Linked DNA regions of Canis lupus familiaris. The protein of the gene in region 3 binds, or shares a complex with, the protein of the main gene of each other region. Links are inferred from orthologs where the notes say so. Each region holds a gene or a part of one and is shown on either strand. Other genes may lie near its edges.

Region 1 (3,316 bases), on a different chromosome or scaffold from region 3:
TTAGGAGGAAGAGCACCGGAGGTGGGGCTCAAGGATTGCCACAGGAGCCATGCTCATCTATCCTAGCAGGGTGTAGTGACACTTCCGATGGTCACTCCAGGGGCAAGCTGCATGTTCTTGCTCAGTCAGCTTATAGTCAGTGCACAGAGAGGCAGCTGTGGCCACAGAAGAATTTTTGTCCATATGGAGCCTACTGGCTGGGAAGGACAGCCAGTGCACTAAGCTGACGTCAGCCTAAGATCTGTCAGTCCTGACCTCAATAGCACCAAGCTGTTGGCCTTTCAGAATAGCCTGAGGAGGAAGTGGGAGACGAATGAGATAAGGACCAAGCAAACAGGTCAAGGCCAGGGCCTATGGATATTACTTTATTTTTTTAAGTAATCTCTATGCCCAACATGGGACTTAAACTCTTGGCCCCCCAATGAAGGGTCGCATGCTCTACTGCCTGAGCCAGGCAGGTGCCCCTCCCAAGGGCCTGTGGAAAAGAAGCACACCGAGAGTTTATACAAAAACCTTTTATTTACTGTTTGTATTTCTTCTCCCCAATCTGGAACCCAGCTAGCTCCTAAGGCTTCCTGCTGCCTGGTTCTTGAAATTGGGGCCTGGGGGAGATAGTTAGGGGTTATGAGAGGTGGGGATCTCCTCACCCACCAGTTGCAGAAGTTGAAGGAAGCTTTCCTGCCTGGCTGAAGCTCCAGCAGCCTCCCAGGGCAGCCCCTCAAGTCAGAGGATCCATTCCCCCACAGGAAGGATGAGAGGAAGAGAGAACACGTGTCTCTCAGGGGCCCAAACGCTCCCTATCACTTGCTGCTTCTACACCAGGCCAGGCTCCATAGCTGAACCAATCTCTCACCTGGAGATGGAGCCCAGCACCAAGGGGAGGGGTAGGGGTGGGATGGAACATGCCTCTGTTTTGGGTTCTACTCAACAAACAGGAAACAGGAAGAGGTTGGCCTGGAGTGGGAAAGGGGAAAGAGGGCACAGGAGCACACAGGAGGGGTTACTGGCCTGGGGTCGGGCCAACTGGACACCTGTGGAGAGAGGTTAGAGCCCCTATGGGAACTGGCACTTCCAGCTCCACAACCACTGGGAAGAGAGAGAAGGGAGCCCTGTACCCATCTAGACAAAGGGCTAATGACACAATAAACACATTTGGTCTGAAAGTGCCAGGAAAGGGCAGCCAGTGCTATCTGCCAGGCCTGGGCCTGGCTGCCTCATTGGCTACCACAGCTCACTCTGGGTACTGTCACCCTTGCCTCCACCATCACTGCCCCCGCTCAAGCTCTGCATAGCCCGTGACTCTGCTGCAGGTGGATACTGCCAGCCAGACTCCAGCTGGCGGGGCAGAAACAAGGACCCCGAGCTCCAGGGCCCTTCCCTGGATGAGGCCTACCCGTGGAGATGTCAGGTCCTTTCCCACAGTCCCGCTGCCATGAGCCAGACAGAGAGAGCTCTCCTGGGAGGGCACTGCACACTCAGGTTCTCCGGAAGACAGGGGAAGCACTCTCAGGGAGGATGAAGAACCTCAGAATGGTATTTGCTCCTCTTTCCTATCCCAGGTCCCGTTGTCCAGGCTCAGAAGTCTGAATCTGCATCCATGAGCTCTGCCTCCATCAGGTTGGTGCGGGAGTGAATGGGCCCCAGCCCCTGCCGGCAGCCCTGAGTCCAGGCCGTGGGAACTGGGGCGCTGGGCAGAAATGGATCCTGCAGGGGACTGGGCTCTGGGCAGAAAGGGTTGGAGACCAGGGTCCAAGCTCTCTGTCGGCAGGATTCCCCAGCTCCCCAGGCACCTGCGGCAACCAAGCACTTCTGCCGCGGCAGCTGAGGCAGTCGAGGAACAGCGCTGGCTGCAGGGGCAGGGGCAGGGTGGTGAAGTTCAGGGGGTGGTGCCAGTGGGCACACCTCCTTCTTCCTCTTCCTCCGCTTCTTCTTCCGGCCCAGACGCTTCTCCAGTTCTGGGGAGATCTCTGCCTCAACCAGCCACAGGTTGGCTTTTTCCTCTGGGGGCACTGATGGCAGGAGAGAGAACTTGAGTTTGGGATGCTGGCTCTGTCCACGCCACCCGTTCTCTCCTCGCACCCCTACTTTTGAGCTCTGGGACACAACTGTAGGTCTCTAGTGCTTCAGCCCCACACTCTAGACCCCCCAAGGCCTTTCCTTCCTCCTCCTGTCCCAAGAACCCCCAGCCTCCATGCCCCCCACCTTTCTACAGAAGCCTGACCCCCTTGTACCTGGAGTTGCCACAGGGGTGACAGACACATCCTGAGGCAGTATGGCTCCTCTCCGAGCCACCATCTTGGTGACATGTTGGGCCCAGGCAGAAGACACATCAGCAGAGGGCTCGTTGAGGTCAAAGGCCAAACCCGCTGTGGGGATGAAAAGAAAGGCTAAGGAATCATGACTGCCCAATTCTTGGATGACGGCTCCTCCCTCACTTAGCACATCTACCTTCCCCAGCAGCTCCCTCACCGTCCCCTGAGCCCAGAAGGCCCACCCAGGGTAATCATAGTGAGCTACCCAGTCCTGGTCTGAAGAGTAGGGCCTTGCTAGAGGTCTGAAAGCCAGTTCCTGGAACTGGAGAGGACAGAAGGAGGGAGAGGGAGATGAGTCCTTTTGAGACCAAAGTATCAGCAAGCAGACCCAGGGACAGAAACAATGCAGAGGAGCCAGGGATGGAAGGGGTCTGGAGAGAGTTGAGTGTGTGAGGAGAGGCCGGGGGCGAGGGTGGGGGTTATTCCTCCCAGCCTTCCAGACAGTCCACGTGTCCACACCAGCCTAGTGAGATGGGGCCCAGGTACTGTGGGTGCTGAGTGGCTCCCGTGGAGGAAAGGGGCCTGAAGCTCACCCACAGGCCCATCGTGGGAGACAGTGTGCATGCTAAAGGACAGTTCCTGGCCTGGGTTCTGCAGCAGCTCACGCCGCTTGGAGAAGGCCTTGGCGATCATTTTGCTCTTCTTGATGCGTTTGGGCTCATCATCACTCTGCCCAGTCAACCTGAGAGCAGAAGAGGTGGGGGAGGGGAGTGAAGGAGCAGCCACTTCCATCCAATCTTGTGAAAGACCAGTGACGACGCCATTCCCTCCACGACTTTGAGGAGTAGAGACCTCTGCAAAGAAGTGGGCCTAGAATTTGGGGCTCCTGTATGCTCAGTACTCAAATCACTCAAATCAGTCTACTCTTCTAAGAGACGCTGGCAGCAGCTGGCTCAGCACTTGATTGGTCCTCCCAAGGGCAGGAGGTGTCACCAGGGGGCAGTGGTGAGCCACAGAGGAGGCAGCTTTAGGCATCTCAGCGCAGACTCTTAGAAAACTAGCCT
Region 2 (4,147 bases), on a different chromosome or scaffold from region 3:
TCTGTAGACCTGTGTTGTTCTAAGTATGATCTGCAGAGCACCTGCCTCAGAATAGGGGAGGGGAGGAGGGCCTGGTTTCTGTATCTTTGTGTCCCTTCCAAAACCAAAAATCATGGGAGGCCAAAGGATGTGCCTCTCAGCCATTGAGAAGGACCCCAATAAGAGCACCCAGTGGCAACCCCACCCCCTTGCCCATCACACAGGCAGGCACCCCCAACACAGGATTGACCCAGCTTGAGACTTCTGTTTTATGTTTTATTTTATTTTTTAAAAAACATTTTATTTATTTTTTCCTGAGAGAGAGAGACAGAGGCAGAGACCCAGGCAGAGGGAGAAGCAGGCTCCATGCAGGGACTCAATCCAGGGACTCCAGGATCACGCCCTGAGCCGAAGGCAGACGCCAAATCGTTGAGCCACCCAGGGATCCCCGTTATTATTATTATTATTTTTTAATAAAGGTTTTATTTATTTACTCATGAGAGACACAGGCAGAGGGAGAAGCAGGCTCCCTGCGGGGGGCCTGGTGTGGGCTCCGTCCCAGGACAACCGGGATCACGAGCTAAGCCCTGAGCCAAAGGCAGCCGCTCAACCACCCGACCACCGACCGGAGCCACCCAGGTACCCTCAGACTCGTTTTAATTGCAGAGCTGCTCCGGGCCCTCACTCGCCCTCACCTGCCCCGCCCCTCCCCCCGCTGGCGTCCCCCTCCTCCTCAGGGTACAGAACCAGGTCAGGCCAACGTGGGGGGCGCTCTGCCACGAGAAGAGCCAGAAGAGCCGTTGTCCTTCCCCCACCAGCAGCAGCAGCAGCACCAGCAGCACCTCCCAGGCCTAGTTCAGTTCGCTCATTGGAGAGGGTTGGTGGAGTCTGCCAGGGTCTCGGAGGTGCCAGGCTCGGGAGGGGCGGCGGGGCCCCTCACCGTCTGGGCCAGGGTGCCCCCGCGGCGGGTGCTGGACGCCTCGGAGCCGGTGCCCTCCAACAGCTTGGCGACGAAGCCCACGCCCGCGGAGCGCAGCAGGCCGCCGCCCGCGCACGCGTACAGCACGGGGTTCACGCTGCTGCTCAGGAAGGCCAGCGCGATGAACACGGAGCGGGCCAGGCGCAGCCACACGCCCGCTGGCCCCGAGCCCTGGCCCGCCAGCGCCCGGCCCGCCTCGGCCAGGTTCACCACGTGGTAGGGCAGCCAGAAGGCGGCGAAGGCCAGGATGATGAGCGCCACCAGGCGGCCGGTGCGGCGGCTGCGGCGGAAGCGGCGGGCCTGCAGCCTGCGCCTGATGTCCCAGTAGCTGGCCACCACCACCAGGAAGGGCAGCAGGAAGCCGGTGAGGGCCTCGAAGAGCAGATGGAAAGCCCTGAGTCGGTCGCTGGAGTACTTGGTGAAGCACACCAGGCTCTGGTTGGTCGGTGCCAGCACCGTGCGGTACATGATGACGGGGATGGCCAGCAGAAAGGACATCACCCAGATGCTTGCCAGCACCCACCAGACAACGGACTTGGTACGAAACTTCTGGGACACAAAAGGGAGGGCCACCGCCAACGAGCGGTCCAGACTCATGGCGGCAATCAGCAGGACGCTGGCGTACATGCTGACGCCGCAGACATAGTGAAACAGACGGCAGCCAGCCAGTCCAAACACCCAGGTGCCCCGGCCCACAGAGTGCAGGAAGAAGGGGGCAGTGAGCAATACAGCCAAGTCGGCCACAGCCAGGTTCAGCACCAACAAGGCAGTGACAGAGCGCTTCCGCATCTTTACCAGGATGCTCCACACCACAAAGCTGTTGCCGGGAAGCCCCACAGCCAGCGCCACTGACAGTAGGATGATAGTCAACGGAATGACGAACATGACACCTAGTGAGGAGGTGCTGCTCACGATGTGGTGTCCGTGGCCACTGCAAGGACCTGGAGAGTGAGGGCGAACACGAGCATGAGGGTTGGGGACCAAGGTTTCCTGAGACCCTGGACACACCCAGCTTGAGTACTCTAGCCTGTCTCCAAGATCAGCAGTGTCAGTTGCCCCTCTGCAACCTCCTGCCTTCATCGCTGCCAACAGACCCATCCTCGGGGGATCTGGCTGAGCAGAAAGACTAATTTTCTAACTGGGCCATGGGGCTTCTTCCTACACACAGACCCCACTGCAAAATAGAGAGCAGTAGCAGCAGTAGTATTTCCATAACCTTTCTGCCTCCTTCCCTTCTGAGACCCAGAACAAAATGGGGGAGAGGGGCCTTTCTTACCAGGGCTGCACCCCTCAAAAGGCTAGCTTCTCTATCACTTGCCAGGCCCTTAGCCTGCTCAGTCCCATTGACTTCTTCAATCATATACCCACTTTCTCCAGAGATGCCCAGAGCCCACCAGGAATAATAGGGATGGCGAGCAGTTTGTGGATAGGAGACAAGAAGAAATCCTCCCCAGTCCTTTTCCCACTGGTCAGGCTTTCTTTGGAAATTCCTCTGCACCTTCTCTCACCATTGTATCCTGCTCTACCACTACCTCCCCAACTCCCAGGATACTTACTTACAGGCTTTGCTGGGTAGTGGTTGGAAACTGGTGCCAATCCCAAGGTCAGGGCAGAGTGGCGTAGCCTATTCCCAGATCTGCCCCAGTTCCAGGGTCCCAGCCCCAGGTCTGGGTGCTGTCCGCTAAGTCTGCCAGAGAGGAAGTACCGAGAAGCCGAGGAGGGGGAAGATACATCTTCCTGAGGGTGGGGCTGAAACTCCTAGCCCTCCCTTCACTTGGGGGGGGGGGGAATAGTCTTTGTGTTCCAGAAGAGCCTAGCAGGGAGGAAGACTCCTTCGGGGTGGGACCAGATGAGAAGAGCCTAGGAGGGTGTAGTGAGAGGAAAGAGAGGGTGAGGGGAGTGAATAGGCTCGGGTGTGGCCTTAAATGCAGGTCTAGACTGGAGAATTGGAAAGAGTAATAAACTGTGTCATACAGGAGAAGGAGGGAAGGAAGCCAGAGACAGGAAATGGACTCAGATTGGGAGGCCAGAAGGTTGGGTATCTTTATATGTTGTATAAATATTGTAGATTTTTAGATTAACAGGAAGTGTAGGTTAGACGTGTGGCTTAGTTATGGGTTTGGGTTTAGGTAACATCAGGACTTAAAGAGGACAGCACCCTGTCTTTGGCTTGGGTTCAAACCATGAGTGACTTTGGAGAGGGAGGGCTCTCTTCCAGCACTCCCACCTATTCCCTCATTTAAAAGGGTTGCTTCAATTCTAAGTCACTCAACTCTCCCTTCCCTTTGGCAGAAGCCAAAGTCCAAAGGATCTCCTTAGTATGGTACAGAATGTCAATTTCTTCCTCCTTCCCTGGCCACTTGCCCTGTGCTTGCCCATGTGGCCACTGCCACATGGATTTGAATTTAATATCTGAGCACTGAGCAAAGAGGTCAGCACGACCTCTTTCCTACCTTCCTGTAGTTGGCTGTCCAGTCCCACTGGACAGAGAAAGTAGAGGCTGAGCATAGAGAGAGGAAGTGGGGGCAGTGATGCCCCACATCTGCCCTGCCAGGAGGGGAAACCAGGAATGTGCAAAGGCAAACAGCCCCCCAAAAGGCCACTCTTCTCCTTGCCTGGAGGGAGGGCAGTTTCCCCCTTTGACCTCTCCTGCAGAAGCTAAGATCTGACAAGTCTTTCCTTTGGTCTGCCTGTGAGCCATCCTGCTTCCCTGCCAACTCTCACTTGTGAAGAGAGATGTGGCATAGAAGGATGGTCATTGAGGTCCCTTACCCTTATGCCCACTTTCTCTGCTTCGAGAAAGGCCACCACAGAGTTGACCCAGAGGCAGAGGATGTGATGCAAAGAAATGTGCCGAAACTGCAGCAAGAAGGCAGAGTTGAGGAAGGGCTCTCTGACCACAGAAGTTGTGTGAGACAGGGGCTACGGAAGAGAGGAAGTTAGGGAGCCTCTGCCCCGGCACATGAGAACAGGAAAAAGCCCCTGCCATCGGTGTCTGAGGATGAAAGTTCTGGCTTGCTGCTTCAGGGTCAATCAGAGGCTCCTTCTGATGAAAGCTGTGTTGTCTTTGCCTCCTCTAACAAACTACTCCCCATCCCCATGTCTCTCAATGGCCTTTCTTCCTCCATCTTCAGACTAGATACTCTAATCTAGGTACTAGATCCAGAACTCTAGACCGCCGCAGTTTGG
Region 3 (4,109 bases):
TGAGAGACCATAACATCCTCAAAGGTATGACTATAAGAAATGTATTCCCCTCAGGCAATTGGCCATCTCTAATGGAAAGAAACGGTCATTATAAAAATAAGTTTTTCTATTTAGGATTATCATTCCCATACCAATGCCTGAAAACTAAACCTAAAGACTTGAACCACTCAAACCCTGACCTAATTTCCTTTAGGTCAATGATTAAACTAAGTCCCTCTTTTTGAAGGCCTAATTCACTGCTCCTAACATGGATAGTAAAATATATGATTTAAAAAAAATTAATTATAATAGACAGTACCATTTTTTTTTTTTTACTAATAATGTGCATCTCATACCTGAATCTCTCAACCCAGATGTCTAAAAGACGATACATATATGCCTCAAGAAAAAAAAAAAAAATGCAGGGACGCCTGAGAGGATCAGCGGTTACAGCGTGATCCCAGGGTCCTGGGCTCAGGACCTTTGGCTCAGGGCGTGATCCCGGGGTCCTGGGATGAGTCCCACATCGGGCTCCCTGCAGGGAGGAGCCTGCTTCTCCCTCTGCCTCTGCCCCTGCCTCTCTGTGTCTCTCATGAAAAAAAAAAATGAAATCTTTTTTAAAAATGCAATATAATGAACTATTTACTATCTTAAATATACTTTGGATGCTTTTTGCCTTAAATGGAATTCATGTAATGAAAAAAACTAAAATAATTAAGAGGAAGATGACCTGATATAAATGGAAGTGACAATGGTTATAGACCACCTAGAAAACCATTTTCTATTTCTATTTGATTCAGTTGTGTTTTATATGGGACGATTTCATCGAGCTACTTACACATTTGACTTTAAACATCTAAAAAAGAACCGAAGGTCAAAACTTCACTGCTAAAGACAAATTAGGGAAAAAAAAAATGTTTTGAAACATTCCAAGAATAACATTTACGAAATAAGCCAGCATTTTGTTTATAGGAACTAGAGTGCTGGGACCCTGGGCAAAAGGGTAGAGTAGGACTAAAATAAGGAGTAAGGAGGAGAGCTGGGCCAACAAGACAGGGGTGCAAAGGATTTCTACAGAGAGAGGAGATGCAAGGGGAAAAGCAAAACACTAGAGAAAACATAGCTGATGGAATCCAGTTACCTAAAAAAATTTTAAAAATCATTCTGAAATCTAACATTGCTGGTACAGAAAAACAAAAATCTCATAATGTCTTCTGAAAATCATGACTCTTCTACACCCTCCTCCTCACTCTCACTATAGCTGGTTGTAGAGGTGCAACTTTTACTTCCACCTCACCCATTGAGCTATTCCTGTCCATGCAGGCGCTGCTCATCAGAGGTTAATCTTTACCCCCAGGGGACTCTCCCGACTATCTGGAGACATTTTCAAGGATCAAAGGTTGAGGGCGGGCGCTGCTACTGGAATCCCGTGGGCAGATGCCAGAGAACACCACGGATGCTACACATCCCACAACCTACAAGACAGCCTGCCCAACAAAGAACCACCCAGCCTAAGACGCCCATAGAGCTAACGTTTGAGAAACACCGACCTCTTCCAAACAGAAGCAAACACCAACTCCTCTGACTTTTATCCCAGCCCATCCCTTTCCAACAGACATCTAATGAAAGCATCAAACGACAGCAGAGGACTCCTTTTCCAATGGCTCTAAACATGGTGGATGGCTGGCTCAAAACTGGGGTCACAGGGAAATCCACGGAAAGGACGTATCAGAGCAGGAGTGCAGAAACTGCAGGGAAAGAACTTTGGGATCTTCCTTTTGTTTCCTTTATGTCTCAGGCACATTCCCAGCACAAGCGGACCACCTACCTGTTTCCCTGTCAAGGTGTGTTTCTTCTATGCTCCGTACACTGAAAATACACTGACCTCCGCCAAATATGGTATTTCTTGTTAACATAAAAACTTAGGTAAACAGCGCTAACTGAGAAAGATCTATACTGGGGACAAGGGTGAAGAAAACCAAGCAGGTCTTTAAGATGCAAAGTTATTTCACAGCTTGCTAGCAAAATGACTCAGATCATTATTACTTTTAGTCATGCCAAGTTTGCTGCTTCTAAGCCTACTAGTAATGGAGAAAAAAAAAAAAAAAACCACCATTTTTTCCTGCAGTCATTAAACCAATGAGACAGGAGCTTACTGAAAACAGGTTTGTGTAATATTTCTTTTATTATGGCTGGTGTAAAGCAGAAGCAGTCGCTGCTGGGGCAAATGAAGGTTCTGAGAAACCTTGCACCTGCCTAAGTAGCCATAGGGTGCATGTGAGCTGGGGGGGGGGGGGGGCAGGGAACAAAAGAAACCCCAAGTCAGATCCACAAATCCTACGCTGTGGGCATTTTCCTAATGCATCCTCCCGTCAAAACCCTGGCTTACTCTTTTTTTGTTTTTTGGCTCTTTCCGAAAGCTGGAGCAGAGCTCCGCAGCGCGCGTCTCCGGGACGCCAGCCCCGAGCACCCGCAGCAGCCCGGCCCGGGGAGGGCGCTCGGGCCCCGCAGGACGCGCCCCGGGCCCGCGCGGCGCAGGTCGGGGTCGGGGCCGGGGCCGGGGCCGGGTCCGGGGTCGGGGCCGGGGTCCGGGCGGGGTCCGCGCGGGATCCCGAGGTCCCGAGGTCCCGGGGCGCTCACCGAGCAGCAGCAGCTTGACCTCGCGCGCCGCCTTCTCGCCGTCCTCCCGCAGGTTGCGGTCGATCATCTTGCTGCGCTCCACCGCCGCCTTGTCCTCGGCGCTCAGCGTGCAGCCCATGGTGCCGCCGCCGCCGCCGCCGCCGCTCCTCCGGCTCCCGGGCCGGCGCCCCAGCGAGCTGCCCCCGCCCCGCCCCGCCGCCCGCCGCCCGCCGCCCGCTCCCGCAGCGCCGCGCCAACTCCCGCTGCCCCGCGCGAGCCCCGCCGCCCGCCGCCGCCGCCAGCGCCCGAGCCCAGCCCAGCCCAGCCCAGCCCAGCCCGAGCCCAGCCCGAGCCCAGCCCCAGCCCGGCGTCCGCGCCGCCGCGGCCCCGCCCCGCCCCGCCCCGCCCCCCGCCCCCCGCGCCCCCGCCCCGCCCCGCCCCCCGCGACCACTCCCGGGCGCGCTCCCGCGCACGTGCCCCGGACAGCGCCCCTCGCTCGGGCGCGCGCCCCCCCCCCACCCCGAACCCCCCGGCCGGAGCCGACCTGCCCCCGGGCGGCCGCGGGCGGCGCCGAAGTTGGGAGCCGGGAAAAGGCCGCCGGGCGTGGGAGCCTGCGCCGCCGCCGCGCGGGGCCGGGGTAAGGGGCTGCCGGCCTGGGGGGTGTGGGCGACGGGGGCAGCTGAGGGGGGCGGGGGGAGAAGGAGCAGAGAGGAGGGGAAGCGGGGGGGGGGGGAACAGGGAGGAGCGGGGGAGCAGCGAGGAGTGAGGGAGGAGTGGGGATGGGGGAGCGGGGAGCAGGGGGTGGGGGCAGCGGGGGGGGGGGGAGCAGGGGAGGGGGGTGGCGGGGAGAGGGAGGGGCAGGGGGAGCACGGGGGAGGGCGAAGTGGGGGGGAACAGGGGACCAGGGGAAGAGGAGGCAGTAGGGGGAGCAGGGAGCAGGGGAGGGGAGAGCAGGGAGGGAGGGGAGGAAGCAGGGGAGTAGGGAGCGGGGAGTAGGGGGCAGGAGAGCGGGAGCAGGGGGAGAGTGGGAAGCAGGGGAGGGGGGAGTGGGGAGCAGGGGAGGGAGCGGGGGAGCTAGGAGCAGGGGAGGGTGGGGGAGGAGGGAGTGGGAGCAGGGGAGGGGAGAGCAGGGGAGGGGGGAGTGGGAAGCAAGGAGGGAGAGCAGGGAGCAGGGGAGGCGCGCAGGGGGGAACCAGGAAGCAGAGGAGGGGGGAGGGGAGCAGGGGAGGGAGCGGGGGAGGAGGGGGGCCAGGGACCCGCAGAAGGTACCTCCCCCTCCCTTCCCCGTCCCCCCCTCCCCTCTCCTGTCCATTCCCACAGTTGTTTCCAAGCACCAACCATCTGCGTGGATTTTCTGGTAACTTGGCTGTTCAGCCTGCAGTTTGAAAGGCCGGAGCCTCGAACCCCCAGCGCCTCCCCAGCCGGGCCTGCCCCCGCCCGAACCCACCCCTGCGCAGATTTTGGCTCCGGATTTCTGGCACCTGGTGACCCTCTGGCACCTGGGTGAGCCG
Region 4 (3,982 bases), about 23 Mb from region 3:
CTTGCGCTCAAAGAGTTTGGGGTGACAGGCCGCCTCAGGCCCCTGGCGGACCCCTGGAAGGGCCGTCTCGGATGGAGGCCGAATCGCGGGTGCCTGGTGGTGCGGAGCGAGCGGGCAAGGTCAGGGACGAGGCGGAGCTCTCCGAGGTGCTGAAGCCACCGCCTCGGCCCCGCGGGCGCCCCCGCCGCGGACTCCCGGGCCCTCCCGCTCCGCACAGGCAAGGCCCCAAGTCCCCAGGCCCCGACCCGTGCGGTTCCCGGACACCTCAAGAGACCGGCTGCTCGCCCTGAGGTCCCGTTCCCGGCTCCGCCCCGGGTGACCTTGGGCACTCGGCTTCCCCTCAAGGCATCGGCGAACTCGCCCTCTAGGCCGCGGCTGGATGGGCGGCGCGTCCCACCGCGGCTGGAGGGAGGACGCGCACCCTCTCCCCGCCTGGAGGGCGGGAGCGGGGAGCGGGGAGCCGGGCGGCGGGGGTGGGGGGCCGGGCCAGGGTTGTGTGCGATGGGCGGGCTCCTCTCTCGCCGGCGGACTGTTGCCTGCCTCCTCTCTCCAGCTCCTTCCCCGGCCCCGACGGCGCCCCTCTTCTCCCGCAGCCCGGCGGCCGGACGCTGGCGGCCCTGGGGCTGCAAACTGCCAGCGCTCGGCTCCCTGCCCCGACGGGACCGCAGCGGCCGAGCCCATCCCACCCGCCCGTGACCTCTCGTTGGGGTCAAGCGTTCGCGCCTCCGAGGTCCCCGTGTGAGCGGGACCCTGCGGAGAGTGCGGCCCGGGCGAGGCGCGACGCCACCTCCAGGTCCTGGTGCTCGGTCAGAGCGGAGGCGGAGAGCGCAGCCAGACGGGACTGCCAGCTCCCTCCCCAGCCCGCGAGGGGGCGCCGCGTCCCCATGACAACGCGGACACCCCACCCCACCCCCAGCCCAGCCTCCCGGGAGGGCAGCGCCCCCCGCTAAGCCGCACTGCCCACCGTGGGCGGTGCCCCCGCCGTGGCCGAGCGCGGAGCTGCCGGCCGGCTCCCGGGGGGGCGCCGTAGTCGGGGTCCCCGACGCCCCGGGTGGTGCCCCCCGCGCGTCGCAGTTGGGTGGCCGGCCCGGGGCGGGCGGCGCGGCCCCACCAGGATTGGCTGCCTCCCCGTGACATCACGCGGCTCGGGGAAAAGTGCGAGCGTGAGCGCGAGTCGAAGCCACAGCGCCGGGAGCTGCGGGCGGAGCAGGGGCCGCCCCTCGGCACCCGGTCCCCGCCCCCGGCCCGCGGGCCGCCCGCTGGTCCCGCCGTCTGTCAGGTGCGAGGGGACCGGGGCGGAGGTGTCTGGTAAGTGACTCCGCGGCGGCGCGGGGGCGGCGGGACTCGGTTGCGGGAGAAGGACCCGGGGCTCCCGGACCCTCCGAGGCTCCCCGGAGGCGGGTCCCCCCGGGACGGGGCCCCAGGCTCCTCTGGGCGCGAGCGCGGTGCTGGGAGCTGCACAGGGCCCGGGGGTGAGGGGCCCCGCGGGAGGGAAGACCCGGAGTCTCGGAAGCGGCTCCAGGTGCGCCCCTGGGAAGGAATGGACGTTCGGGAGGTCGGGGGAGGGGTGCTGGCCCACAGCCCTCAGGGCGCCCCGGCAGCCGTCGGGGGCGGGACCCCGCGTTCCAGCCTTCCCACCGGCAGCTCAGGAGGGCGCCAGGCGCTGGAGCCTCAGGAGCCTTTTTCCCGCCCGTCTCCCCGCCCCCCGCCCCCGGCGCCGCCGGCCCACCCCGGTACCTGAAGTCCTCCATCCGCGACCTTGAACCCCGACGGAAAGCCCCTACCGGCCTGGCGCCCCTCCCCCACTCCAGGACCACCCCCTGCTGTTGCCCAGGCTGCGAGCCCGGGAGAGCCGGAGCCCAGCCCCGAGCCCAGTGGCGGAAGTGTCAGGTGCAGTGTCCATGCCAGATCCCCCGAGCCCCTTCTCCCTCCTGTGAACTCCGGAGTCTCTTCTCCCCGCCCCAGGGACGGATCCGGGGCCACAGCCCTCCCGGAGCCCTGGAGTGAATGCCTAAGAACCCACACCCCAACCCCCTCCCCACGGCGTCCAGAGCACGCGCTCCTTCTCGTCCGGAAAAGGGGGGGCTCCAGAACCCGGGAAAGCACGGTGCCCACGCCCAGAGGCTGCAGGAACTGCGTGCTAGGGGGTTGGGGGGAGGGCGGGGCACCGGGGAGCCAGGGCCCCATCCACCGGGCCGGGGGCCTGGAGGAGCCTGCAGATGAGCCCGAAATAACCCCCAACCCGGCCCTCGAGGTCCGCCCAGGTCCAGGGCTTGAGAAACCGGGAGCCCACCCTAGCCGCTGGGTCCAGACGGTGCCTCTCTGGCGGGGTGCAGGGTTAGAAGTGTGGGAGGGCAAGAATCTCACACTCAACACTCAACTGACCTAAGCCCTGGCTGGGCCTCCGCGGTTTGGGGGTGCTGCGGTACAATCCCGCCCCACCCCCACCCCCACCCGCACCCCCGGCAGACTGGGCACCCTTTGGCCAGAACGCTCCGCGGGCACACCGAGCTGGGCCCTGGGCCCGGTGTCCTGTAAGGCCAGCGGGGCGACTCAAGCAGCGGCCCTTCGACAGAAGTCAGGCTCAGGCTGGGTCGCCACATCGCCGCGTTGGGGCGCAGACACCAACTGGGCGCTGGCTAATACGATGCCCCAAGGTCAGGGGGCCCCTTGCAGCTCGGGTTGTAGTCTGGCCACGACCCTTCCCCTCCCACGAGCGGGGCACAATCCAGACACTGGCTCTAGACTCGATCTTCTCTGCGAAAGTCTGAGCCGAGCCTCCCGGCAGGGCCGTCCACACCCGGGCAGGTCGCCGATCGTGGGCCTTGCATTGGCTCCTGCGCCCCAACTCACAGGTGCGCGCTTAACCGGACTCGTGCGCATCCCCCCGGCCCGCACACGCATGCACAAGCACGTGTCCACATGGCACGGGCCTGCTCACGCGCACACGGGCACACCGGTATCCAGGCGTGGCCGAGCGCGCACACACGCACATGCAGACAGCTACTCGCTTGTACTCGCGCTCCCCGGTGATCACACACAAACAGAACTCGCACTCGCCTTCCCGCCCACACGTCCCTCCGCGGGGCCGAGTGGAAGCCGCGCGCCCCTAACTTTGCCACCGGCGAACCCGCGCGGAGCCTAGGGCAGCCCCCGGGCAGGGGCTGGCAAGAAGGGGGGGGGGATCCACGTCCTTCCCCGGGGCGGCCCTGCCCTGGAGCCTCTGCGCTTTCGGTCGCGTTGGAGTTGGGGGCGGTGGCGGAGAGCTGCTGTCCGGAGCTGGCACCCGGGGCTCGACATCGCCATCTAGCGGTGTGCACAGCCCTGGGCAGCGGCTGCTTGCCTCCCCAGATCTCGGGCGGGCCTGGATGGCAGAGAAACGCCCCAGAGAGGGTTGCTGTCAGAATGTCTGCGGGAAACCCAAGGGGTCCAGAAGGATGGCGGGGGGGGGGGGGGGTAGGCTGGGAAACACCAGGCCTCGCCCTTTCTGCGGCTGGCAGCTTCCCCAAGCGGATCCAGAGCAGGACTAAACCACCTGCCGCCTCCTTGGAGACAAGATGCCCCAAGATGGAGATGAGAGGTCTCTTCTCTTCTGAGAAAGCTAAGTGGGGGAGCCGGCGGGGGTGGGGGGACCCTTAGTCCTTCCGTTTGGAGCAGTGGACGGCAGAGGCAGGAAATCAGCCTGAGACAGGTTGAGGTTGAGAAGGGGACTCCTGGATTCTAATCCCCCCCCCCCCCCCCCCGCCCAGCCCCGCTTACACACTGGATGGCTTTGGGCAAGTTAATTAACATTATCCTCATCTGTCAGAAGATCCGTAATCAGTGAGATGGGGATGCTAACAGTACCTGCCTTCTCAGGCTCCTGTAAGGATTAACCCAGATAATCTACATAAAAAGCTCAGAGGGATTCCCGACTCATAGTTAACACTCAATGAACAAGGGCTATTATGTTTTTCATATTTGGCCCCTCCAGTCCCGTTTC
Region 5 (4,232 bases), on a different chromosome or scaffold from region 3:
ACGCTAGCTGCATGTTTTCCCTCCGCACTGCAGCTCTTTCTAGAGCCTCATTTTTATCATCTTTGTGTCTGCCTCTCTAGGAGAAATTCAGTAATTGCTTATTCAATTAAAATTTTCTTTTCTCTCAACTTTGTAAGACATCCATAATAGTTCTCCATGAGATTTTTTAAGTAATAACACAATAGGGATTTGGGGAAGGGGTAACATGATACGTAAAAACCAGAAACCAAATAGTATGATGCTGAGTTAACAAGGCCAGAGCAAACTTTGAGACTTTAAACCAAGAGCTTATGTCTCACTTTTATTATATCACACTTCATTTTTTAAAATAAATCACATTCCTCAAGTATGTATGCCTACAGGCACCAAAAAACACTAAAGGAAGACATGCCACACATTAAGCACGAGCATTAAAATCTTGACCTCGGGATGACTGAGTGGCTCAGTGGTTAAGCATATGCCTTTGGCTCAGGGCATGATCCCGGAGTTCTGGGATCGAGTCCCACATCGGGCTCCCTGCATGGAGCCTGCTTCTCCCTCTGCCTGTGTCTCTGCCTGTGTGTGTGTGTGTGTGTGTGTGTGTGTGTGTGTGTGTGTGTCTCATGATAAATAAAATCTTAAAAAAATACTTTATAAAATCTTGACCTCAAACTACATTTTAAGTCTTGTTATTTGCTGAACACTTGGAGCTTCCCAGTGAAAATGATACAGTGTACTCTGCCCAGATTGCAACTTTCCTTACTAAGCATTTGAAATAAGATTCTTGGCCCTAAAAAATCACTAACTTCAGACTGAATGTCATTATGCATCAAAAAGACCGAGCGAGTGAGAGATCCAGCGAGTGAGATTTTTACTTTGAATCTTCCAGTCCGTCAAACAGGACAGATTCAGTATAGCCTTGACAGATCTATGGTATAATTAAAAAGAAAAAGAAATTTCTGTTTGGTAAATATTAGCTTCAAACAAAAATAGACGTTTCCAAACATCAGTTGTTGAAAGGGCTGCCCTTCCCACCTCGGTATTTTTCCTCCTCATTCACAGGGATACTGAGCTCCTCTGAGCGCCCACAGCACTGGGCAGCTGGGGAGCCCAAGAGACACCCATGCATCAGGTCCCACCACAGGGATCCCCCTCACTCCACATGGATTTTAAGGCTCAGCAGGCTCACTCACTGTGATGGAATAGTGGAAGATGAAAGGGTGGGGGTTGTATTGATGCCCCTGTGGAGGAGGAAAGAAAAAAGAGGAAAATCAACCCCCAGATGGAGGCCTTCCCCCCTCCAAGCGTCTCCCGCTGCAAGTTCTCTTCTACCTCTGACCCTCTTGCCCTCTCACCTCCCTTCTGGGATAACCCGCTCACAGGTGACTCTCCCTACTGCTCCAGCACGGGACAACCCCACGCCAGGTTCTAATGACTCGGGGGAGCTGGGAAGAACAGAACAGCCAAGATCATCAAATCCGTCCATTTTCCAGATGAGTGCCCCGAGACGAAGGACAAGCTGCTGAGCTGATGGGCTAAGGTGGCACCGCTAGGGGACGCGGCGCGCGTGGGCTGGGATGATGCCAACCCCTCTTCCCGCCTGCGCCTCCCCCCTTCTCTTGTTTCTTTGCTTCTTTAGCCTCAAAGTAAACGGCGGGTAAAATCCAGCCTTAACACACTTAAAATGCTAATCATCACTCTCAAGTTTGCACTGGAGGCAAATTTGCTCACTCCTACCGGATTCGGAGAACCAAGGGCAGAAACAAGTGGATGCGAGTGTGTGTGTGTGTGTGTGTGTGTGTGTGTGTGTAGGCGCGAAAGCAGTTCACTCGGGTCCAGACAGCCCTAACTCCAGTTACACCCCTTTCCCTCCTCGGGGCTTAGGCTTCCGTATGACCAGGGGATCGCTCCCTAGGGGAACCGAGCAGCTTTCCCAGCGCTGTCCCCCTTTAACCAGAATCGCAGGCTTTGCATCACGGACCACTCGCCTCCCAGTTGTGCTCACGCTGGACAAACCACACTTATGCAAATAGGTGAAAGACACGGACTGTTAGAGCCTGAAGGAATAGAGGATTCTACCCCATAACTGCAGTTACCTGCTTCCCATATTCGGGTTTGCACACAACGCGCCCATCCCAGCGGGAAACGGTGCAACTTTAACAAGCGAGCGCTCGCTGAAGACCCACGTTTATGAAAACTCCACAGATTTCAACAAACGAGAAAAGAAAGAGAAGCAGGGACACAGAGCAAGAATCTCAGGCCCCAAAGTGAAGGCAGCAACAAGTCCTGGATGCCGTCATCCCTTACGCATCAAAGGCCCAAATGGCAGCAAAGAAAAAAAAAAAAAAAAAGAATAAAATTTAAATCCATTCACAACAAACTAGTCCGACACAAACCAAACGAGCCTGTCGGTTTCAAAACCACCAAGTCCAAGCCAGGTCCCTCCCTTGCCTTCAGTGTCCCAGTTACTTGCTAAGCGTGTTTGCTGGGCGGCTGCACCGACACCAAGTTTAAAGTCCGCAGCCCGGGAGCGCGAGGAGTCGTCGGGGAGACGCGGGGTGCACCCCGGCGCTCCCGTGCCCCGGACCCGGCTTCGGGGTCACCTCGAGCCCCCCACCCCTGCAAGCCCTTCTCGCGCTCCCACCCAGACCCAGGTAACCCGAGGCCACCTACGTGTCACTTGGGCGGGTCCGGGCCGCGGACGCGGCACAAAGCGCGGGCCCCGGGGCGCACCGACCTGGCCGGGGAGGGGGACGGAAGGGCCGGCGGCCCGGGCGGCTGCGGCAACTTCCCTCCCGGGGCGCGGGCGACTGGCTGGTGGCGGAGGCCGGGAGAGCCTCGCCTCCTGCAGGCCGGCTCGCGGCGCGCACGCCCACCCACAGCCGACACCGGCGAGCGCGCGCGCGCGCACACTTGCACCCGCTCGCACACTCGCACGCGCAGCCACAAAGCCTGTCTGCCCCGGGACGGCGCGAGCCGAGCGCGCCGAGCGGCTGCGCAGGCGACGCGGCGGCCCCTGGCCCCGCGCCCAGGGGGCGCCGTCCCCCGCCCCCCGCGCCCCGCGCCCGCCCCGCCCCGCGCCCGCCCCTTTACCTGCGCCCGCCGCTGCCCCCCCGCCCCCCGGGCTGGCCTCCCGCCGCGCGGTCTCTCCCCGCGGCCGGCGCCCGGCCCTCCGCCCGCCCCCTCGACGGCCGCCCCCTGCGCCCCCACCCCCGCCCCCGGGAAGCCGGAGCCGCGCTCCGCCGCCGACGCGGGAGACGCAGCCCGGGCAGCGCCGGCCGCCGCTCGGGCCGCCAGTCCGCGCTTTGGCGCGCTGGCCGGGGCGGCGGGGTGGCCCGGAGCCGGCGCGGCCGCCAGCCTCCGTCCTCCCCCCTCCTTCTCGGCCCGCACCGCTGCTCCCTCCCCCTGGCTCGTTCCGTCGCGGGGTGCGACGCCCCCCGGAGCCCCCCGCAGCCCGCGCGCGCCCCCCGCGGCGGGAGACCCGCGGGCTCGGATGCTCAGCCCCCCGCCCCCCCCGCGCTCACCTAGCGCCCGCCGGCTCGCCGCGCTGGGTGGGCTCCCCCAGACGGTGCCTTTTCCTTCTGTCGCTCTGCTCTTCCCACTCGGAGAGCTCGGGGAAGCATCGCGGGCCCGCACCCCCTGCAGGAGGGCCTCTCCCGCAGTCAGCGGCCAAGCTCGGCGCGGACCCCGGCTTCCCCCCGCACGGCCCGAGCTGGAGGTGCTCGCGCGTCCGCGTCTGCAGCCCGAAGCCGGCGTGCCGCGCGCCCCCAGCTCCCCAGGCGCAGGGCTGCAGCCGCTCTTCCGCTTTCCCAGGGCAACTCTGCAAGTGCCAACTCTCGGCGTCCGGAGGGTAATCAAGGGCGGGGAATGCACACCTGGAGGTGTGGGCGGGCGCGGCGCCGCGGGACCCCGGGAAGGTGGCCGCCGCCGAGGTTCGCGCGGGCCCTGCACGGCCGCCGGTCGGTCGGGGGCTTTCCGGCCGCGCCACCTCTCCCCCACCTCCCGCTTCCCACCCCCGGCTTCCCAGGATTTCCGGACTCGGGGCACTTCTCTGCCGCTCGCTGCGCTGCCAAAGCCGCCACGCATCCCAGGCAGCTGCCGGGCAGGAGGGGAAGCTGGGCGAGCCCTTGCCGGGGGCACCCGGGAGGCCCGGGGAGCGGTGCGGCAGGGGGACCCGCGACCCGGGCGGGGGGGACCGCCCCGGGGTTGGGGGCGGGGGGCACGCGGCGATCCTGGGCTGCTCGGAAGGGAGA
Region 6 (3,943 bases), on a different chromosome or scaffold from region 3:
GACAAATGCCAAGATCGAACTCCTTGCTTCTAGTGGAGGGTAGAGCTGAAGAGAAAGAAAAGCTACTATTTAGGATCCCTGGACCCTGGAGTTCTAGACTACAAAACCAAACTGACTAATGAAATGCCTGCCTGAATGAACAAACAACACGGGATGAGTAGAAGTCCCGGGGGGAAGAATTCTGGAAGCAGGGGTCAGGCCACTGATGGTAAACACAGACCCATTCCCTAGGTTGAGAGGAAACCGTGTTCCGACTCTGTTTCTTCAGATGTGTGTATTTGGACAGGAATTGAGGAGCTTCTAATGAGGGAGGAACAAGGGTGGCTCAGAGGTGAGACCCAGCCCACAGGGAGAGGGGATCTATGGGGGAAAGACACAGGAGCCTGAGCACAACTCCCCTATAAAGAGCCACACAGGTACGCGGGGCCTCCTGAATCCCTGATAGTCCCCCAAGTCAGACAGCATGTAGGTGCCCTCAGCCTCTGGCTGTTTTACCAAGTGGCTCGCTCTCACCAAAGCTCCAGCAGACTTCCACTCATGGGCACCCACCAAGTGCTCACCGCTGGCCCAGATGCTCCATACATGCTGTCTCATCCACACCTCACCCAAATCCTGGGATGTAAGTATTCCCATCCTCACTTAACCCAAAAAGGAAGCTAAAATTCAGAATATTCATCTGCCCCAAGGTTACAGTGAAGGGACCTGAGTCTGAGCCCACATCTGCATGACTCTAAATCCCATGCTATTTCCACCAGAACAAGACTCGGGCTGGGTGAAACCAAACTGTCCCAATCAAGAGGGCAAAAGAGACCTGTTGGGGGCAGAAGGCAGGAGACCCCATATAAAGAAAAAAATTGAAGAATCAAAGGAAACAGGAAACTTCTTTCCTGAAAATGAGAAGAATCACAAAAGAAATTGCCTAGAAAAGAGAAGATGAGATCATCTAACTTGAGAAATGGGAAAAATGCTTGGGAATGAAAAAATAATCCAGGACCTAGGGACGGAGAATCTGGTTTGGAAGTCGAGTGAGGATCTCTGGGGGGAGAAGGAAGATGCCGGCGGGCGCCCCATCATCCTTCAGGTTTGAGAGGAGACAGTGTTCAATTACTGACCTTCCTCTCTCTGGTCACATGACCTGTGCTAGTATAAAAGCTTTCTACCAGCAGGTTCCTTACAATTCTTTCCTGTGTGAAATGGGCAGTAGCAGTGGCTGAAGGCCCGTTCCTCTTCCCCAGAAGCTTTCCGACTTTCCTTCAGGACTAATCCCAAGAAGCCATCTCTCTGGACTGCAGACAAGGCAAGGCAGCTGGCTCTGTGCTTGTGCTCTGGGAAGTGATGCTGGGATCTGGACTGGAGGGGGAGGTGCCGGCGGGGCTGCCCGAAGTCTGTGAGAAACTGGATGTGAGGCTCATACCTGCAGCCAGTGTAGCTGGGATCCAGGAAAGAGATGGGGGACCTCAAGCCCGGAGAGAGGACGGAGGGGGTGGGCTGTGTTAGGGCAGCGGGGTCACAAGCCAAGTGGAAACTGAATGACCCCGTTTACAGTTCTTCTGTTTATACTCAAAACACCGGGCTCTGGAGCCAGTTGCTGCCTGTGGGTTTTCTTGAATCTGCTCTAAAGTCTTTTAGAGGACAAGCCCCAAAAGATAGCACAGGCTCACCCTTCCTCCCCAATGCCCCTCCCTACACTTCATTAGCTTCCTCTTTTCAGTAATAGTCCCAGAGTTGGGTATTGGTCAGGGGAGGAAAAGGTGGAGGAGAATCTGTGTTCTGCAAAAGGACAGGAGGACGAGGTAGGGAGATGGGTTGGGGGGCCAGGCCTCCGTTCCCTGGGCGTGTGGCGGGGTCCTGTGAGGAGCTGGCCCTGGGTCCCATGGCCTGGGCTTTCCCAGCCTCGAGCCCCTGAGCGCTCACAGCCCTCTCCTCGGGAGAGGCTCGCCCTTTCTCCCCACGGATCTCCGACCGGGTAAAGAACTCAAGGAAAGTTGGAAGCTGATAACGGCAACTTCCTGTATCTGTGGGGAGAGAAGGAGAAAGCCATGGGTTGGTCCCCCCCGGAGACACATGATGGCAAACGTAATAACTCCCGCTTACTATCCCGCCCCAGGCAAAGTCAATAATTGCTCTGGGCAGTTCTGGCAGGTGTGCGAGCAAGCGGCGGAGGCGGCACAGGGCTCTGGCCGGGGAGGGGACAGCAGCACGGGGGATGTCCACGTCCTGAAGCGGAGGGGGGTCCGCAGGCTGCCAGGGGCACCTCCTGACCCTGCCCTTTGTCAACCTCTTCCAGAGCCATCATGACAAACTGGCGCAGCCCCCTCATCCTCACGGCCTACATCATCATCTTCCTCACTGGCCTCCCCGCCAACCTCCTGGCCCTGCGGGCCTTCATAGGACGGGTCCGCCAGCCCCACCCGGCCCCCGTGCACATCCTGCTGCTCAGCCTGACGCTGGCGGACCTCCTGCTGCTGCTGCTGCTGCCCTTCAAGATGGTCGAGGCCGCGTACGACTTCCAATGGTACCTGCCCGAGTTACTCTGCGCCCTCACGGGGTTCGGCTTCTACAGCAGCATCTACTGCAGCACGTGGCTCCTGGCGGGCATCAGCATCGAGCGCTACCTGGGAGTGGCCTTCCCCGTGCAGTACAAGCTGTCCCGCAAGCCGGTGTACGGAGTGATTGCGGCCGTGATCGCCTGGGTCATGTCCTTCGGTCACTGTACCATCGTGATCATCGGCCAGTACTGGAACTCAACCCATAATGATGTCACAAGTGAGAATGGCATCACCTGCTATGAGAACTTCACCCAAGCTCAGCTGGATGTGGTGCTTCCTGTGAGGCTGGAGCTGTGCCTCTTCCTGTTCTTTGTCCCCATGGTGATCACCATCTTCTGCTACTGGCGCTTTGTGTGGATCATGCTCACCCAGCCCCACGTGGGGGCTCAGAGGCGGCGCAGAGCTGTAGGGCTGGCTGTCGTGACGCTCCTTAATTTCCTGGTGTGCTTCGGGCCTTACAATGTATCCCACTTGGTGGGCTTTTTCACGAAGAAGAGCCCCCTGTGGAGGGCTGAAGCCGTGGTATTCAGTTCCCTCAATGCCAGTCTGGACCCCCTGCTTTTCTATTTCTCTTCGGCAGCTGTGCGTAGAGCCTTTGGAAGGGGGCTGCAGATCCTGAGGCATCAGAGCGCCTCCCTGCTGGGGCGCAGAGGCAAAGAGACAACAGAGGGGACGAGCGGGGACAGGGGTGTGAGTCAAGCAGAGGGAGCTCCGAGTTCTGACTTTACCACAGAATAGGGGTGTCCAGGACCTTTGGAGGCACTCTGGGTGACACAGGCATTGAGCAGGCTGGGACAGGGGGAACGTGAGGTTCCTGTCCCAGAGTCAGAAATCCTCAGATGGATCCACTACGGGAGCTGTAGAAATCTCTCTCAGCAGCTTGGTATCCCTTCCTGACTGAAGTTTTCTTCCCAAAGGAGCACAGCTCCATGACAAAGGAAGAAATGGTTTGGCATAGAAGCACCCTCAGACCATGGTTTCAGGAGCAATGTAGCTAATACAAAATCAGTCCTTGTGACACAGTGGTAGCTGGGGACGATCAGGCTAAAGCCGAGTCCTAAAGCCATCTTGCTACAGGCTTTGAAACAACATCTAGACCCTGGGCCAGCTGTTGATACTGGAAAGAAGACCATGGGAAGAGATGGAAGGGAATACAAGGGAATACCAAATGAGGTCAAAGAAGACTCAGGAAGATTATGAGTCAAGGGAACTAAGAGGGAGGACCAGGGACTTTGAACTCTAACCATCTAGGTCTGCACTGTATCGCTCTGACCTGCTGCTTTGTAAGTATGCTCCAGTCATCTTCAAGTGTGTATTTTGTCTCCCCGTATTAAACCTGCCAGAGGTCTGGGTCTTGTCTCCTCCCTCCATGGCACCCCACACGGGCTAGGACA
Region 7 (4,057 bases), on a different chromosome or scaffold from region 3:
CTTCCTTGGTGACACTCCTGCCCCCTAACTGCCACACGCACATGTAGATGTATGTGCCAGAGGGACCTGGGCTTGGCATGTGCTCATTAGCATGTGTCTAAGCTAGCTTTGCCTCTACTGACACCTGTGGAAGGAAGGGCAGCACCAGGGGAGCATATGTAGGGATGTTCTTTGCCTTAGCACCTGGTGTGCATGCAGGCTCTGAGGCTAAACTTGAGTGCAGGCCCCCTCCCCAAACCCTCAGCACAATTGGTTGCTGCAGTTTTTCCACCACCTTCTACCCAGGGGCGTCCTCCATTCTGCTGCAGGAGGGAAGAAGAGTCAAGAGCATCTTCTCAGAGCTGTCCTCCCTCTGATTGGGCTCCAGCTCCCATTCCCTCCTACACAGCAGCCAGTTTCAGGAGCCTCTTCCCTATTCCCTTCCTCCCCAAGATGCCCCTGCCAGCCCCAGCATGTTCCTTAGGGTTGACCCTAGTCCCTGGCCCTGCAGCACCCCCCCACGCACCCCAGGTTGATATCTTTTTGCCATAAATACCCTTTGTACATGAGTGTGGGGATTAGTGGAGGTTGGTGGGGCAGGAGGTCAGGGCTAGGTATGGGGGTGGTGGTGGGTAGCAGCTTTAAAGGTCATCTGCAGGAAGAGGAAACCCCATCCTCCTCTGACCCCTCCCCCATGTCTTCCTCCTAGTGACTCAAGCCCCAGCTCTCACATCGGGCCAAAGGCATATGCCCCTACCCCAAGCCTGGCTTGTGGACTGAGCTGCAGTCTGTGGTTGGAGAGAATGGATGTGAGGACAGGGACAGACTTGTTGCAGCAGGCTAAGCTCTCTACCTATCTCCCAGGTGTCCTTCTACATATCTCCCAATGGCACTTTGCAACCCTAAGGCTAGCCCCTCCGCTCTCAAAGATGGGACCCATGACACTGTGTATACCTCTTTGGACTCAGTGACCTTCCCGTCCCTGTGTCCCGTACCCGCTGCTCTGTGGGCTGCAGTGTGACCACGGGGTGGAGGGGGCCTGATAGACACCTGCTCCTGCGCAGAGCAGGAGCGCCCGAGGATTCAGCACCACGCGGTGGACAGCTCCGGGACAGAAGCCCCGCGAAGAACAGAAGCCGGAGGCGCCGGGCAAGGAGCTGTGCTGGAGTCTGGAGGGAGGCGGAGGCCGGGTTGGGAGCGGGAGATCCGGAGTGGGGAGGAACGGAGGAGGGGCTGGGGGCGGGCCGGGGCCAGGGGCGGGGCGGGCCGCGATTGAAAGCGGCCGGGCGAGCTGGCGGGCGGAGAGCGCAGAGCTGCTGAGCGAGGGAGCAAGCCACTGAGCGAGAGCTGGAACCCTGCGCCCCCGGCTCCTCTCCGTTTCTCTCCGCGCCGGAGTCGGGCGCGCCAGGTAGGGTAAGCCCGTGGTGCCGCGGCCACCGCCAACCTTATCGATCCTGACCCCATGTCCTGGAGACCCGTGGGCCCTCGAGTTCTGGGGCGCCCGGGCCGGGACGGGCCAGGGCGCCCAGACAGTGCTTGCCAGGAGCTCCAGGAAGCGGGAAGACAGCCCCAGGCATCCCGCCTTTCTTCCCCAGAGAACGCACGCCCTGCATCACGCTCCTTCATTCCTCCTCTCCTTCTATCCTCTGGTCTGTCTGTCTGTGCCTCTGTCTTTGTGTTAGCCTCTCGGGCTCAATCACTCCCTGCCCGGATTTCGTGGCACAGGCCCCCTGGCTGTCTACCTCTGGGGTTCTGTCTCCCTCCAGGGTATTGTCCCTGTCTGGATTTTGGTCCTGGCTGCCCCTGTGAGAGGCTTGTGGTCTTGACTAGTTTGGGCCTCAGCCCCCATCTGGGTCCCTTCCCTATCTGTCCTGGTCTTCATGCTTGCCTCTCTCTCTCCTGGTTGCCTGGTTGAACTGCTTCTTTCTGGGTACCCACAGGATCCCAGTCTCCCTGCCCTGGCACCAGGGAGAGATTAACCCTGGGGAGCTGAGGGACAAAGTGAAGAATACCAGTTTCTGTGGTCAGGACCTGGGGTCCTTGAACTAGTGGCTGGCCTTCTTCAGCCTCAGTTTCCCTCTCCCAGCCTTCCCAAGCCTGCGTGATTGTGAGAGCCTGTGTGGGGTGGGCATCCAGGAGGGTAGCTGGGGTACAAACAATGAACTGCAGAGTGGAAGAGGGAAGGAGGGGTCTCTGAGGGCCAGGGACAAGGTGGACAGGATGGGGAGAGGATGACGATAGGGAGATGAGAGATGATGACTGTCTCTACTTGGATCTGAGCTGAAGAAAAAACAGAGGCATAAAGTCTCGAACAGCATTCTAATGCAGAGCTAAGGTGTCCAAAAGTCTCATCTTGAGCAGTGTTTTGAGATTCTGACCAGATGAATTGCCCCTGACTCTGGACACACATATGCTCACATCTACTTTCCCTGTTGACTTAAGACCACTTAAGGCCACTTCAGTGACCCTCCCTGGGGCCAGCCTCTCCACCTTGCTGTCAAACTCCCAGGGCCTAGAGATTCTATTACTTCCTCAGTCAGGGGGCTCTGGGGATGGATTTTTAAGAACTAGGGGCTAGGACCCTTGGGTGCTCACCTGGGCTCCAGTCTCTGTAGGAGTTGGAAACTACCCTTTGGAAACCTTTTTCCTTCCCTCTTTCCTGGTGGGTTTCAGCCACAATGGCCCATCTCTGGAAACACAAGTCTCAGCATAGGGACTAGAGCCCCAAGTTTATACTCTAACCTGGCCACTGCTGCAGTATTGACTTTGGGGTCCTAGAAGCTTTGTACAAGGTCTTGGACACTCTTTGATTCACAACAGGATTAGTGTTGGCTCAGGTCTTCTGACTTGTCTGGGCCTCTACTCTCTGCCTCCCTCCTTCTCTGCTGAGTATGGAATGGGCATGGAGCCCATCTACAGACCCAGATCAGGGCAAGGTTGAGAAACAGGCCAAAGGGTGTCCCAGGAGCTTTTCAGCCTAGTTTGTGATATTGTCTCTCCCTGACTCCCTAGAAAAGTCCCTAGGGAAGGGAATTGGGGAAGGCAGAGTTAGAAGGGTTGGCCACTCTTGGGTTCCACTTCTCCCTGTTTGTCTGTCTGTCTCTTTCTCTGCAGGAGCTGGGTCCCTTCTAAATTCTCTTCCTGCCTGTCCTTTCCTGGTTCCTGCTTCCTCCTTTCTTTGCCTTTGCTGCTTCTATCCTCATCCCCCGGAGGCCCAGGTCTGCTGGACCCATCCATCCCCTTTGGGACTATGGGATCACTGCTTGGGCTCCTGGCACTGCTGCTGCTATGGGGTGCTGTGGCTGAGGGCCCTGCCAAGAAGGTGCTGACCCTGGAGGGGGACCTGGTCCTGGGTGGGCTGTTTCCAGTACACCAGAAGGGTGGCCCAGCAGAGGAGTGTGGGCCTGTCAATGAGCATCGTGGCATCCAGCGCCTGGAGGCCATGCTTTTTGCACTGGACCGCATCAACCGTGACCCACACCTGCTGCCAGGCGTGCGCCTGGGCGCGCATATTCTCGACAGCTGCTCCAAGGACACACATGCCCTGGAGCAGGCACTCGACTTCGTGCGTGCCTCGCTTAGCCGTGGTGCCGATGGCTCACGCCACATCTGCCCCGATGGCTCGTATGCCACCCACGGTGATGCTCCCACTGCCATCACTGGTGTCATTGGCGGCTCCTACAGCGATGTCTCCATCCAGGTATGTAGGGGCTATCCAACTGGGGGCTGGGTAGGGAGTCTGGAGGTGGGAGCCCAGAATTCCCTCTGAACAGGGGCTCCGTGATGCCACACATTGGAAAAGGGACTAGGAGCTTCCTATAAGTAGCTTTTTGTGTGATACTAAGAAAATGCCTCTGTCATATAGTGGGGGTTGATTTTTAGAGATTGTGTAAGGAAAAGATCCCGCTTCCATCACACAAACACACACACACACACACCCCTGAGGTTAAACAGCCATGAGAAGCTTAGTAGCCAGGCCTCTTGAGTCAGAACTCCAGGTTTGAACCCTGGCTCTCCCAGTACTATGTGACTCTGGGCACTATTTCTCTCTTCTATGCCTCTGTTTCCTCCTTATAGA

What was found.
Region 1: the proteins of GNAI1 (region 3) and SMO are in contact, whole or in part, in a cryo-EM structure (PDB 6XBM), measured with the Homo sapiens proteins. The link is inferred for Canis lupus familiaris from reciprocal best matches to the Homo sapiens genes GNAI1 and SMO. Residues at the interface, in NP_002060.4 of Homo sapiens: Glu28, Arg32, Glu33, Lys192, Leu194, Gln333, Phe336, Asp337, Thr340, Asp341, Ile343, Ile344, Asn347, Leu348, Lys349, Asp350, Cys351, Gly352, Leu353, Phe354; in NP_005622.1 of Homo sapiens: Arg261, Pro263, Ala264, Trp339, Ser342, Phe343, Ala345, Leu346, Gly347, Thr348, Thr349, Tyr350, Ser354, His433, Pro434, Gly435, Ser438, Lys440, Ala441, Lys444, Ile445, Glu447, Thr448, Arg451, Trp535.
Region 2: the proteins of GNAI1 (region 3) and LTB4R are in contact, whole or in part, in a cryo-EM structure (PDB 7VKT), measured with the Homo sapiens proteins. The link is inferred for Canis lupus familiaris from reciprocal best matches to the Homo sapiens genes GNAI1 and LTB4R. Residues at the interface, in NP_002060.4 of Homo sapiens: Glu28, Ala31, Arg32, Leu194, Glu318, Tyr320, Thr340, Asp341, Ile343, Ile344, Lys345, Asn347, Leu348, Asp350, Cys351, Gly352, Leu353, Phe354; in NP_001137391.1 of Homo sapiens: Thr53, Asp114, Arg115, Ala118, Val119, Pro122, Phe123, Ser125, Gln126, Lys127, Arg129, Thr130, Leu208, Arg211, Arg212, Phe213, Arg215, Arg217, Arg218, Thr219, Gly289, Gly290, Gly291.
Region 4: the proteins of GNAI1 (region 3) and CHRM4 are in contact, whole or in part, in a cryo-EM structure (PDB 7TRK), measured with the Homo sapiens proteins. The link is inferred for Canis lupus familiaris from reciprocal best matches to the Homo sapiens genes GNAI1 and CHRM4. Residues at the interface, in NP_002060.4 of Homo sapiens: Arg32, Leu194, Glu318, Tyr320, Phe336, Asp337, Ala338, Thr340, Asp341, Ile343, Ile344, Lys345, Asn347, Leu348, Lys349, Asp350, Cys351, Gly352, Leu353, Phe354; in NP_000732.2 of Homo sapiens: Asn67, Arg130, Cys133, Val134, Pro137, Leu138, Pro141, Ala142, Ile218, Ala221, Ser222, Ser224, Val226, Arg394, Lys397, Val398, Thr401, Ile402, Cys456, Asn457.
Region 5: the proteins of GNAI1 (region 3) and LPAR1 are in contact, whole or in part, in a cryo-EM structure (PDB 7YU7), measured with the Homo sapiens proteins. The link is inferred for Canis lupus familiaris from reciprocal best matches to the Homo sapiens genes GNAI1 and LPAR1. Residues at the interface, in NP_002060.4 of Homo sapiens: Ala31, Arg32, Leu194, Gly217, Val218, Thr219, Tyr320, Gln333, Phe334, Phe336, Asp337, Ala338, Thr340, Asp341, Val342, Ile343, Ile344, Lys345, Asn346, Asn347, Leu348, Asp350, Cys351, Gly352, Leu353, Phe354; in NP_001338326.1 of Homo sapiens: Ile84, Tyr85, Arg146, Thr149, Val150, Arg152, Met153, Gln154, Leu155, His156, Tyr225, Tyr231, Val232, Arg235, Thr236, Arg238, Met239, Thr252, Ser255, Leu256, Thr259, Arg314, Asp315.
Region 6: the proteins of GNAI1 (region 3) and FFAR2 are in contact, whole or in part, in a cryo-EM structure (PDB 9NS9), measured with the Homo sapiens proteins. The link is inferred for Canis lupus familiaris from reciprocal best matches to the Homo sapiens genes GNAI1 and FFAR2. Residues at the interface, in NP_002060.4 of Homo sapiens: Glu28, Ala31, Arg32, Glu33, Val34, Asp193, Leu194, Phe336, Thr340, Asp341, Ile343, Ile344, Lys345, Asn347, Leu348, Asp350, Cys351, Gly352, Leu353, Phe354; in NP_001357016.1 of Homo sapiens: Gln40, Ala42, Val44, His45, Glu106, Arg107, Gly110, Val111, Pro114, Val115, Tyr117, Lys118, Leu119, Ser120, Arg121, Arg122, Phe202, Met206, Gln209, Pro210, Leu211, Val212, Arg216, Arg219, Ala220, Leu223, Ala224, Phe273, Ser276, Ser277.
Region 7: the proteins of GNAI1 (region 3) and GRM2 are in contact, whole or in part, in a cryo-EM structure (PDB 8JD5), measured with the Homo sapiens proteins. The link is inferred for Canis lupus familiaris from reciprocal best matches to the Homo sapiens genes GNAI1 and GRM2. Residues at the interface, in NP_002060.4 of Homo sapiens: Glu28, Ala31, Arg32, Glu33, Val34, Asp193, Leu194, Thr219, Asp337, Asp341, Ile343, Ile344, Lys345, Asn346, Asn347, Leu348, Asp350, Cys351, Gly352, Leu353, Phe354; in NP_000830.2 of Homo sapiens: Lys599, Ala600, Ser601, Gly602, Arg603, Arg656, Ile657, Ile660, Phe661, Ala664, Arg665, Glu666, Gly667, Ala668, Gln669, Arg670, Pro671, Ile674, Pro676, Phe756, Val826, His828, Arg829, Ala830, Pro831, Thr832.

Annotation. Positions count from the first base shown.
Region 1 is NC_049235.1:7,376,321-7,379,636, forward strand, and holds the end of SMO (smoothened homolog), read right to left. Parts: intron 2,995-3,316; coding exon 2,846-2,994; intron 2,367-2,845; coding exon 2,232-2,366; intron 2,010-2,231; coding exon 1,576-2,009; 3' UTR 501-1,575; downstream 1-500. UniProt on the Homo sapiens protein: G protein-coupled receptor which associates with the patched protein (PTCH) to transduce hedgehog protein signaling. Binding of sonic hedgehog (SHH) to its receptor patched prevents inhibition of smoothened (SMO) by patched.
Region 2 is NC_049229.1:4,408,788-4,412,934, reverse strand, and holds LTB4R (leukotriene B4 receptor 1), read right to left. Parts: upstream 2,673-4,147; 5' UTR 2,519-2,672; exon of another isoform or gene 2,515-2,518; intron 1,900-2,514; 5' UTR 1,844-1,899; coding exon 845-1,843; 3' UTR 501-844; downstream 1-500. UniProt on the Homo sapiens protein: Receptor for extracellular ATP > UTP and ADP. The activity of this receptor is mediated by G proteins which activate a phosphatidylinositol-calcium second messenger system.
Region 3 is NC_049239.1:20,150,928-20,155,036, reverse strand, and holds the start of GNAI1 (guanine nucleotide-binding protein G(i) subunit alpha-1), read right to left. Parts: upstream 2,801-4,109; 5' UTR 2,738-2,800; coding exon 2,620-2,737; intron 1-2,619. UniProt on the Homo sapiens protein: Guanine nucleotide-binding proteins (G proteins) function as transducers downstream of G protein-coupled receptors (GPCRs) in numerous signaling cascades.
Region 4 is NC_049239.1:43,502,237-43,506,218, forward strand, and holds the start of CHRM4 (muscarinic acetylcholine receptor M4), read left to right. Parts: upstream 1-1,182; 5' UTR 1,183-1,308; intron 1,309-3,982. UniProt on the Homo sapiens protein: The muscarinic acetylcholine receptor mediates various cellular responses, including inhibition of adenylate cyclase, breakdown of phosphoinositides and modulation of potassium channels through the action of G proteins.
Region 5 is NC_049232.1:66,180,563-66,184,794, forward strand, and holds the start of LPAR1 (lysophosphatidic acid receptor 1), read right to left. Parts: upstream 2,801-4,232; 5' UTR 2,653-2,800; intron 1-2,652.
Region 6 is NC_049222.1:118,041,426-118,045,368, reverse strand, and holds the start of FFAR2 (free fatty acid receptor 2), read left to right. Parts: upstream 1-1,143; 5' UTR 1,144-1,297; intron 1,298-1,304; exon of another isoform or gene 1,305-1,793; intron 1,794-2,287; 5' UTR 2,288-2,294; coding exon 2,295-3,287; 3' UTR 3,288-3,943. UniProt on the Homo sapiens protein: G protein-coupled receptor that is activated by a major product of dietary fiber digestion, the short chain fatty acids (SCFAs), and that plays a role in the regulation of whole-body energy homeostasis and in intestinal immunity.
Region 7 is NC_049241.1:38,330,019-38,334,075, reverse strand, and holds the start of GRM2 (metabotropic glutamate receptor 2), read left to right. Parts: upstream 1-1,257; 5' UTR 1,258-1,387; intron 1,388-3,093; 5' UTR 3,094-3,229; coding exon 3,230-3,679; intron 3,680-4,057. UniProt on the Homo sapiens protein: Dimeric G protein-coupled receptor which is activated by the excitatory neurotransmitter L-glutamate. Plays critical roles in modulating synaptic transmission and neuronal excitability.